2 linked regions of the Rattus norvegicus genome follow. The protein of the gene in region 2 purifies or fractionates together with the protein of the main gene of each other region. This does not show direct contact. Links are inferred from orthologs where the notes say so. Each region holds a gene or a part of one and is shown on either strand. Other genes may lie near its edges.

What was found.
Region 1: the proteins of Slc31a1 (region 2) and B3gat3 purify together in Homo sapiens (co-immunoprecipitation; 3 studies listed by BioGRID and IntAct, with this or other methods). This does not show direct contact. The link is inferred for Rattus norvegicus from reciprocal best matches to the Homo sapiens genes SLC31A1 and B3GAT3.

Annotation. Positions count from the first base shown.
Region 1 is NC_086019.1:215,248,967-215,254,145, forward strand, and holds the end of B3gat3 (galactosylgalactosylxylosylprotein 3-beta-glucuronosyltransferase 3), read left to right. Parts: intron 1-2,365; coding exon 2,366-2,726; intron 2,727-2,908; coding exon 2,909-3,199; intron 3,200-3,549; coding exon 3,550-3,648; 3' UTR 3,649-4,036; downstream 4,037-5,179. Other genes in the region: Rom1 (rod outer segment membrane protein 1), read right to left, coding at 4,465-4,683, 4,777-5,023. UniProt on the Homo sapiens protein: Glycosaminoglycans biosynthesis. Involved in forming the linkage tetrasaccharide present in heparan sulfate and chondroitin sulfate.
Region 2 is NC_086023.1:80,850,770-80,855,427, forward strand, and holds part of Slc31a1 (high affinity copper uptake protein 1), read left to right. Parts: intron 1-2,772; exon of another isoform or gene 2,773-2,791; intron 2,792-2,968; 5' UTR 2,969-3,020; coding exon 3,021-3,140; intron 3,141-3,537; coding exon 3,538-3,610; intron 3,611-4,658.

The DNA.
Region 1 (5,179 bases), on a different chromosome or scaffold from region 2:
ACCTGGCCTTGTAGTGTTTCATTTTTAATTTTTATTACTTAATTTTGTTGTTTTTCAAGAGGGGGTTTTTCTTTGTAACCCTGGTTGCCCTGGAGCTCAGTAGACTAAGCAGATTCCCCTGCCTGTGTCTCCCAAATGACAGGATTAAAGGTGTGTGTTCACTACTGTGCCCAGCCTCCTAATCCAGCTTTATTCCTGAGTAAACTTGAGACTTGAGCCATCCCCTAGAGTGTTTTACTTGATAAATTGTATTGCCAGTCATAGCATGCTGACTCATGCCTCATAATGTCCAGTACTGAGGGGCCGGAAGAGGGATTGGTACAAAATGAGGTTCTGTCATTATTTTTATTTTTTGATGCAAGGTAGCACTGTGTAGCCATGGCTGGCCTGGGGCTTGCTCAGTAGATCAGACTCAAACACCTCTCTGCCTCTGCCTTCCAAGATTAAAGGCATACCCAACAAACCAGCCCATTTGTCTTTAAAAACGAATTAGTTAAAATAAATTAGAATTTGTTACTTTGTTTACTTCTTTACTTTTTGTTTTGTTTATGTTTTTGCCTGAGGATTATGTATGTGCACTGAAAGTGTGCAGACACCAACAAAGGCCAGAAGAGGGAAGTGAATTCCCTGAACTAGAGTTGCAGGCGGTTGTGAGATGAGAAAGGTATTGGGAATAAAACACTGGGGTTGGGGATTTAGCTCAGTGGTAGAGCGCTTAAGGCCCTGGGTTCGGTCCCCAGCTCCGGAAAAAAAAAAGAAAAGAAAAGGGAATAAAACACTGGTCCTCTACAAGACCATTAAGTTCTCTTAACCATTTCTCCAGCTCTCGTTTTTCCTTTTTTCCTTCTTTTAATTTCCTTCCTCCCTTCCTTCCTTCTTTCCTTCCTTCCTTTCTTTTTTTAATTTGAAGTAAGGTCTCACACTGGCTGGCTGGTAGTTTACTGTGTAGACCATGCTAGTCTGCTAGTCTACACTCACAAAGATCTGTCTACTTCTGCTTCCTGAATGCTGGGACTAAAAGTGTGTGCCACCAGGACCAGGTCATCTCATTTTCCTAAAATATATCTTTGTCTGGGAGGTGTAACTTGGTGGCAGAGTGCTTGTATAGCATGTACAAAACCTTGGGTTCAATCCCTAAAACTGAATAATATTGTAGCTAGACACGATGACAAACTTGTAAGTATCAACACTCAAATTGAGCCCTGAAAATTGTTTAGTTTGAGGCTAGCCTGAGCTACAGTATGAGACTGTCTCAAAAAGCCAATAATAGAACTGTTACAAAATATTCACTATTTTTTTTATTAGTTTGTTACTGGGGATTGAACTGCATACCGGCTAGCAAACATGTTATCATTGAGCTACATTTCCAGTCCATATTAATTAAATTAATTAATTAATTAATTTTGGTTTTCCGAGACAGGGTTTCTCTGTGTAGCCTTCTGGCTATTCTGGAACTCTCTCTATAGACCAGGGTGGCCTCAAACTCAGAGGTCCATCAGCTTCTGTCTTTTTAGTGCTAGGATTAAAGGCGTGGGCCACAAGCACCTGGCCTATTTATTTACTTTTTTGACACAGCATCTATGTAATGTCTTGGCTCTCTTAGAACTTGCTATGTAGACCAAAGTGGCCTCAAACTCCACAGAGAGGTCAGTCTACCTCTGTCTCCCCAAATGCTGGGATTAAAGGTGTGTGCAGCTGTGCCCTTCTTTCTAATCCAGTTTTATTCCCGAGTCAATGAGGCTCAGATTAAGCCATTTCTCAAAGTATTTCACTTGATAAAAATGGATGTGGTAGCATAACAGCATTGGGAGGCAGAGGCAGAGGCAGAGACAGAAGGGGCAGGAATTCAAGACCATCATTAGCATATGAGTTTGAGCCAGCTTAGCTACTCGAGACCCTGTGTCAAAAAACAACTTACAAAATGATTCAAACCCAGATCCATATGATCCCATGTCATTTGTCCTACAGTCTTGCCCCAGCCTGAGTCCTGGTTAAGGAAGTTATGACCATGGACTGGAAAGATGGGGCAGGTGAATATCTGCCTGAAATTGATTGACACTCAAGGGAGAGGGAGGTAACTTGGCAGTATCTCAATGCTTGTTTGAATACCTGAAATCCTGGGCTCCATCCTAAGTAACACACACACACACACACACACACACACACACACACACACACACACACAGAGAGAGAGAGAGAGAGAGAGAGAGAGAGAGAGAGAGAGAGAGAGAGAGAGAGAGAGAGAGGGCGCGAGCGCTAGGGGAATTGCCAGAGAACATGCTAACGGTGACCAGGAGCAGCTGTCATTCTCAGTGTAGAGGACCAGGATTACCTGGCCCCTTCCTTCCTGCATCTCCCACTGCAGGCTAGTACAGAAGGCAGAGCTGGTTCGGCTGTCCCAGACCCTGAGCTTGGTGCCCCGTCTACACTGGCTGCTGGTGGAGGATGCTGAGAGCCCTACCCCGCTGGTCTCGGGGCTGTTGGCTGCCTCTGGTCTCCTCTTCACACACCTGGCTGTCCTTACCCCCAAGGCTCAGCGGCTTAGGGAAGGTGAGCCAGGCTGGGTCCGGCCCCGAGGAGTAGAACAGCGCAACAAAGCCCTGGACTGGCTCAGAGGAAAAGGGGGTGCTGTAGGGGGAGAGAAGGACTCACCACCACCAGGCACCCAAGGAGTCGTGTATTTTGCTGACGATGATAACACCTACAGCCGGGAGCTCTTTAAGGAGGTGAGCCCTGGGATGAAGATGGAGAAAGAGCCAGGAGGGACCAGTGTCCTTCTTTCTCTTGCTTACCGTGTTGATGTGGGCTGGTGCGGGAAGATGGGGAACAGTAGGGAAGGGGTGTCAGTAAACAAAGTAGTTCTTTTCCTTGGACCTCCCCTCTCTGTTTCTTCTCTCCTCTCCATCAGATGCGTTGGACTCGTGGTGTCTCAGTGTGGCCTGTGGGGCTGGTGGGCGGCCTGCGATTTGAGGGCCCTCGGGTACAGGATGGCCGTGTTGTGGGTTTCCACACAGCATGGGAACCCAACAGGCCCTTTCCCCTGGACATGGCAGGATTTGCAGTTTCCCTGCCCTTGCTGCTGGCTAAGCCTAATGCCCAGTTTGATGCTACTGCACCCCGGGGCCACCTGGAAAGTAGTCTCCTGAGCCATCTTGTAGATCCCAAGGACCTGGAGCCCCGGGCTGCCAACTGTACTCAGGTAAGAGGCTGGAGGAACACTCCAGGGGAGCAGCTAACAGAAGGGGGAATGTGTGTTGGAGCCAGGAGAAACCCTCCACATATCTCACCAACTTTGCTTTCAAAGGCTACTGAGAGTCAGGGTATGGCTCCTGCATTTCATCATACAGACTTCTGTGAACCCATGTGTGCATCAGACAGACAAGGAACAAAGTCCCATTTTAGAGACAGTAAAGTTCCCCCAGCACAATATGTCATACATTGTATACCAACTCTGAATGTAGAAGAGGTGGGGTGGGGGGAAATCGGTTTTAGATCACATACCCGAGGCCCTGGTTATGGCTGGTTTTAACCCTAGACCTTCCTTCACAGGTACTGGTGTGGCATACCCGGACAGAGAAACCGAAGATGAAGCAGGAGGAACAGCTACAGCGACAGGGCCAGGGGTCAGACCCAGCTATTGAGGTGTGATGGCAATCTCACCCTGACTTCTACCTTATTTTAGGCACATACCTTGTGGGACTGGGCTCCAGGCCAGCCCAGGATGTGGCTTTTTTTTTTTTTAAGACCTGATCCCTCAGAACCAGAGGCAGCCCCTCCAACCACAGGGTGTGGCCCAGTTGCTTCTCTGCCTTCTTCCAGCCTGCCATGTGGCACTGCCCACAGGCTGGGGACAAGCAGCTTCTGTAGTGAGCCAGGTCAGCCCCATCTGGGGTGGAGCAGGACAGATGGACTCAGGAGGGAGGGTAACTTATTGGGGACAAGCATGCAGTGGGGGGCTAGAGGAGCTGGGCTGGACCCTCCCCACCTGAGCATGCTGATCCCCTTCCTACCTCTAGAATAAAGAATCTCAACCCAGAGGGGCTTCATGGTTCCCCTCACTTGGCAAACCTGCTTGCTGCTCTCTGATCTCAAGAGACCGGGTGCCTGTTCCTACACAGGACAGGCTGGGCTCCTCCTCTGCACAGTCCTTCCTGCCCCCTTCCCCTTGACAAGAGAGAGAGCAGTGACTTCTGTCCACAAACTTTATTGTAGAGTCTGAATACTAGAAAGAGTCTTCAGTCCGTTGGCTGTCACTTCCCTCTCACCCTCATCTCTTCTCAGCCTTGGTGGTTTTGACCGCAATGGCTGGGCTTCAGGACACTGGACCTTGTCACAGTCCAGCTCTGATTGCTCTAACTCCTGTAATCCCAGGAACCACTCTTTCCCTGAGCCTGAGTAAAGGATTCTGAGTTCTCCATATTTGTCCATCTTTCCCCTTCCCACCCCGACGACCCCTTCAGGTTTCTAGGCCTCAGCTAGAACTTCCTTGGGAGGTTCCTCATCTGGTGGGGCCTCCTCAGGTGCTGGCTTGTGGGCAAGCCCTCCCTGTAGCCATGCAGTTTGCAGTATGTCTTTCAGCCCACCAGGCAAAAGATAGCCCTGGGTCTCTCCTTCCCCATCAATGACTCCTCCAAGGCCTTCCAGCGCTGTCTGCAAATACCGCAAACCAAGGAGCACAAGAACCTGTAAGGAGAAGCAAGTAGAAAGGGTGATTGTCAGTGGATTTGGGGCCACAGGGCTGAAAGTAGAAGGAGTCAGGGCCCTTGTCTGACTGACCTGCAGCAATAAGGTGACAGCCAGAATACTTCCCAGTGTGCCGGACAAACCCTGCAGGTGCCCCACGAGCACTTCGTGGCACCCTTGGGCCCACAGGTTTAGGTTGGGCTGCCGAGGATCGAAGAGTGGATGGGCATAGGGGTCTGAGAGCTGGCTTTGCAGGCAGGGCCGGGGTGAGTGGGGGTTACAACAGGAGAAGGGCACTCCATCAATCAGATATAAACCTTCCACGTTGCTCTGGATCCGGCTGCAGAGACATAGATAAGATAGTTAGGTGGCCGCAGATAGAGGCCTAGCGGAGCATCTGAGAGCAGGGGCAGTTGAGAAAAATGATTATGAAACATTTACTGAGTGCTGCATAATTCATTTATCCCCACAACTCTGTACGATAGGAGCCTGTCTA
Region 2 (4,658 bases):
TTCATACAGAAAAGTAAATAGAGATACAAAATAAGTAAGTAGTAAGTAAATAAATAAATAATGTGTATGCTGGTGATCAATCTCAGGGCCTCTCTCGCTTGTGCAGGGCAAGTGATCAGCCACTGAGCTATAGCTCCAGCCCTTATTTATTATGTTTTCTTCAATAATTTCTAAGTTCTTCCTGCTATACATTAATATTATATATTATATATTTATATAAATTTGGTTTGACATAGTTCTGTTGGATCTTTCCCTCACTGCTAGGGTCACACTTAGAGCCTCATGCATGCTAAGCAAATGATGTCACTGAGCTACAATCCTCAGAGTAAGCTTAGTGAGCACAAGAACTTCAAATTGCAGTTTAGCTACACTGTATATTGATTTCCGCCAATCTGCATCTCCCTATTCAGACTCCACTGGGTAAGCCTTGCAAAAGGTTCCCATTACAGAAGTCCATTGTCCACTACAAGAAAAACAAGCAGATTGTCTTCCTGCACTCTTCCCTAGTGCATGTGAATGTGGCATGCATCCTACACACATGAAGGTGCAGAGCAGGTGCAGAGTTTAAAGATTTGCTAGAGCTTTGAACATACGAGTGTATGAATTCCTGGGCCCCTGGGCTGTCTGAAGAGTTTTTGATAGTTTACCATTGAGTAGTTCTCTCTAATTGGAACATGGGGCTTAAACAAAAGGAAACCTCCAGGTCTTCAAATACTATTAAATACAGTGTTGGCAGAGTTTGAAGAAATCAAGGGTACAGGACTCACGTAGTTTGTGTTGCTGTGTTCCTGCTCTTAAAGAGTACGTCATGAGGTGTGTACTCTAAGGAAAGATTGGTTCATTTCTTTATCTCCCCAGCCTCACAGAAATAACACAATAAAATGCTCACCGCCTCTTCATGGCCTGGATTCCTATTGATAACGTGGAATGAAATTATCTTTGGTACTTTTCTGTTATCGCTTCTAGCCTTGTACTGGAAGAAAATAACATTTGTACCTTCTGTTTGTGAGTCTTTATTAGTCATTCTGGCTCCTTTTATTCTGATGCCATTTCATTTATTTGGTTCAGAATCCCAAGTTATAACCAATAATCCCACCATTCCATCATCATTTTCTTTTTTAAAGCAAAGCTACTGACTGCTGACCCATGGTCTCATTGTTGATACTTGTGGGCTCACTATTATATTTTGTTATTTGGTGTTTATTATAAAATTTTCATGAGCAAAACCACATAATACCATAGCGATGGTGTTGAGAGGAAGATACATTGTCAAGTCTATAATGATAATGGAGGGTCTAGCATGACAGTGACTGGAGCTGAAAAGTGGAACTTGCCTGAGTGATAGAATTGTGCCTATTTTGTAAGCCTGCTGTCATGGAGTCATGGGGTAGGAAGTGGGAGGGGAGGCTGCACATTTGTGCTCTCGAGTTGGGCATGTAGCTTCCTGGCTATGAACGCTCTGCTCGAGGAGCATCTCTGACATCTCGTCGATGTTACACTGCGCTGCTTGTTTGCTCCAGAGCACTGATTACGTCATGAGGTGATTCTGTGCACCTCACCGCTTCTCTCCTCATCAGGTGCTTTGCTTTGCTTGCTGTGGATCACTAGTACTTTGGCCCTTGATAGGAGCTTAATCAGTGAGTAATCAGAAGCATACACAGACTCAAGTCCAAGGATACCTAATTGGAATTTCTTTTACTTTTTTGAGACAAGTTCTCACAATATAGCCCACTATTGCCTCAGACTCAGAGTCTGTCTCCCTCAACCTCCTGAGTGCTGAGATTACAGGTGTGTATCATCACACCCTGCTCCAATTTGGAATTTCTCCTACATACTGGAAGTGTGGGACACAAAGAGATTTCAGGAGGGAGGCATATGGCTCAGAGGTTAAGCAAACTTGCTGGTTTTGCTAAAGGTCCAGGCTCCATATCCAGCACCCACATAGTGGCTCACTTGTGTCTGTAACTTGGGTTCCAGGGCATCTAGCACTTTCTTCTGGCCTCCATGGGCACTGCACACAAGTGATACTACACACTCGTGCAGGCAGAATACCCATACACATACAATAAATAAAACTTAGGAAAGACAGGCTTGTTGTATTGGGGAAAGAGGAGGAGGACACATACCTGAGAGGCGGAGTTTGAGGCTACAGAGTGAGTTCCAGGACAGCCAGGGCTACACAGAGAAACCCTGTCTTGAAAAAACAAAAAAAAAAAAAGAAAAAGGCAGATTTTATGAAAATCTCCCTCTGCACATATATCTCCCCACTCCCCAGTCTCCACAGCAACCGTGGGAGTTACTGCCCCTTGACTCATGTTGACCTCTGCAGAAAAGCATTAACATGATGCAAGACACAAGGCTGACTATGCAGTGTCCAAACCTAATTTAATATAGTTCATCTAATTTATACCTTGTTGTTCATGTTCTTAACTCTAATGTCCTGGTGCAGCTAAAACTGTCTCTGAAGTCTGGGCACACTCTTTGCCTGAGGCAGCAACAGACCTTTCTCCAGATTTAAATGAGCTCAAAGTTAATTGTCCTCTAGGCCTAAGTGGAATCTGCGCATCCTGGTTACACAGACCACCCCAATTAGGAGACTTATGTGAAGTCTTGGCTTTTCATCTACTGCTGTTTATGATTAAACAGCCTTAGAGCAATTACCTTTTGTAAATGGCTTACACTTATACATTATTACAAATTATCTATTCCCTGCCATCTAAAGGGGCTGTTTTTTTCTACCTTAAATTAAACACACATTAAAACCTGTGTCTTAGAGGAATGATTCTGCAGAGTAAGTATCTTAAGCCTTCAGGACAAGCCCTTGGTCCCTTTTCTCAAAGGCGATCCTTAGTAGTCCTAGTTACTCTGCATCTAGGAGAGCATTTGTTCATTGGACAAAATTCTGTATAGACAAAGTATTTATCAAGAAAATTCTACGTTCCTAATATATAATTGTTTTTCTTCAAAGACCTTTGCGCTGACTCTCATCTTTTTCTGGAAAACTGGATCCTTCGGACCACATGAGGATGAACCACATGGAGATGCATCATATGGGGATGAACCACACGGACGACAACATCACCATGCCACCCCACCAGCACCCCACCACCTCGGCCTCACACTCCCACGAGATGATGATGGTAAGGCTTCCACATTTGGGGTTACCCAAGAGGGAAAGCACAGCAGATCCCCCAGGCAAGCCTAGTGACTTACCAGTGTTCATGTGGCAGGCTTGTGACAGAGTGACACCAGAACCAAGATTCTGTAGAATTCTTTCTTCCCTAACCCTTTCTTTTGAAATTCACCTTTTCCTGAATTAAATCCTAGTGTTTGTATTTCATGTAGAAAAGAGAGAAAGACATGGGACTGGGGGCGGGGGGCTCTTAGTGCCAAGGTAGTAAGCCTCCCACTGCCTCAAGTATTTCTTCTTATCCAGGCAGGTTACTTTTAAGTGTTCTAAGTCTCATTGCCCGAGACTCCCAGATTCCCTTTAGGATCCTCAGTCTTCTCTAACTGACTCGTTTGGTTTTCTGGCAGCCTATGACCTTCTACTTTGGCTTTAAGAATGTGGACCTATTGTTTTCCAGTTTGGTAATCAACACACCTGGAGGTGAGTAACCAGATAATCTTCGAAGATGACAGTGTCATAAGAGATGACTCTAGATTTGGAAACCCAGCACCTCTCTCTGTTCTGTCATGGGATCTGTATGGTTGTGCATAACCATTGCAATTCCTAGTCCCTAAGCACAAGAGGCCATTTTTGATCCTCCAGTGAGTTTCCTTTAATTAATGTACATGTATTAATGCATATACTTTGGAGCGCTAAAATATAATTAAAATGCTAGATAAAAATCTTTTGCAGTCCTTTTCTTGTTTGCTAAGTTACTGGTCCTAGGCCTAAAATTATAAGCATATGCAAATATCACAGTGTAACCCTAGGTTAAAAACTGTTGATCTTGCCAAATATGGAAACACACACCTTTAATCCCAGCAGTTGAGAGACAGAGTCAGGAAGATCTTTGTGAGTTCAAGGCCAGTCTAGTCTTCATAGAGAGCTCAAAGATAGCCAGGACCTATGTAGATGCTGCCTCCCAAAACAACTGTGTTGATCTCATTACTGCCTGTTTACAGATAAACCTACCCCTGTGTAGTAGAAATGGCATGCCTGAATCACACAGTTAGTACCTCAGAGCTAAAACAAGGACCATACTTTCTAGAACTTCTAAACCAGTGCTTTCTCTGCTGCATCAAACTATGGTTTCCATATTCCTGATGCTTGGCCTATCATAGAGCCGCTCTTCATTTAAGGCACTGTCATCTATCTCTCTGTATCTGTCTTATAGTGGTGTGCTTTGCATTTAAATTACAGATGCATGAGCTTAATATTAAGTCACTTTACTGCAGAAGGTACCAAACCTATTTTGGAAATAAACCAATTTGCTTTTGGGAGAGAAAGAGAAAACATTTAGTCCTAGTAGTGTGTTAAATGTTAGTTCTATAAATACATTCATCTTAAATGCTTAACTATATATGCCTAATCCCTTAAAATGCCTTTCAAATTACGTAGGCAGCACTTGTAAAGCGGGTTGTTTTAGCCTGTGTGACAGTGAGCACTTTTGATCCCATGGCTTAGGAGGCTGAGGCAGGAGAATCTCCAA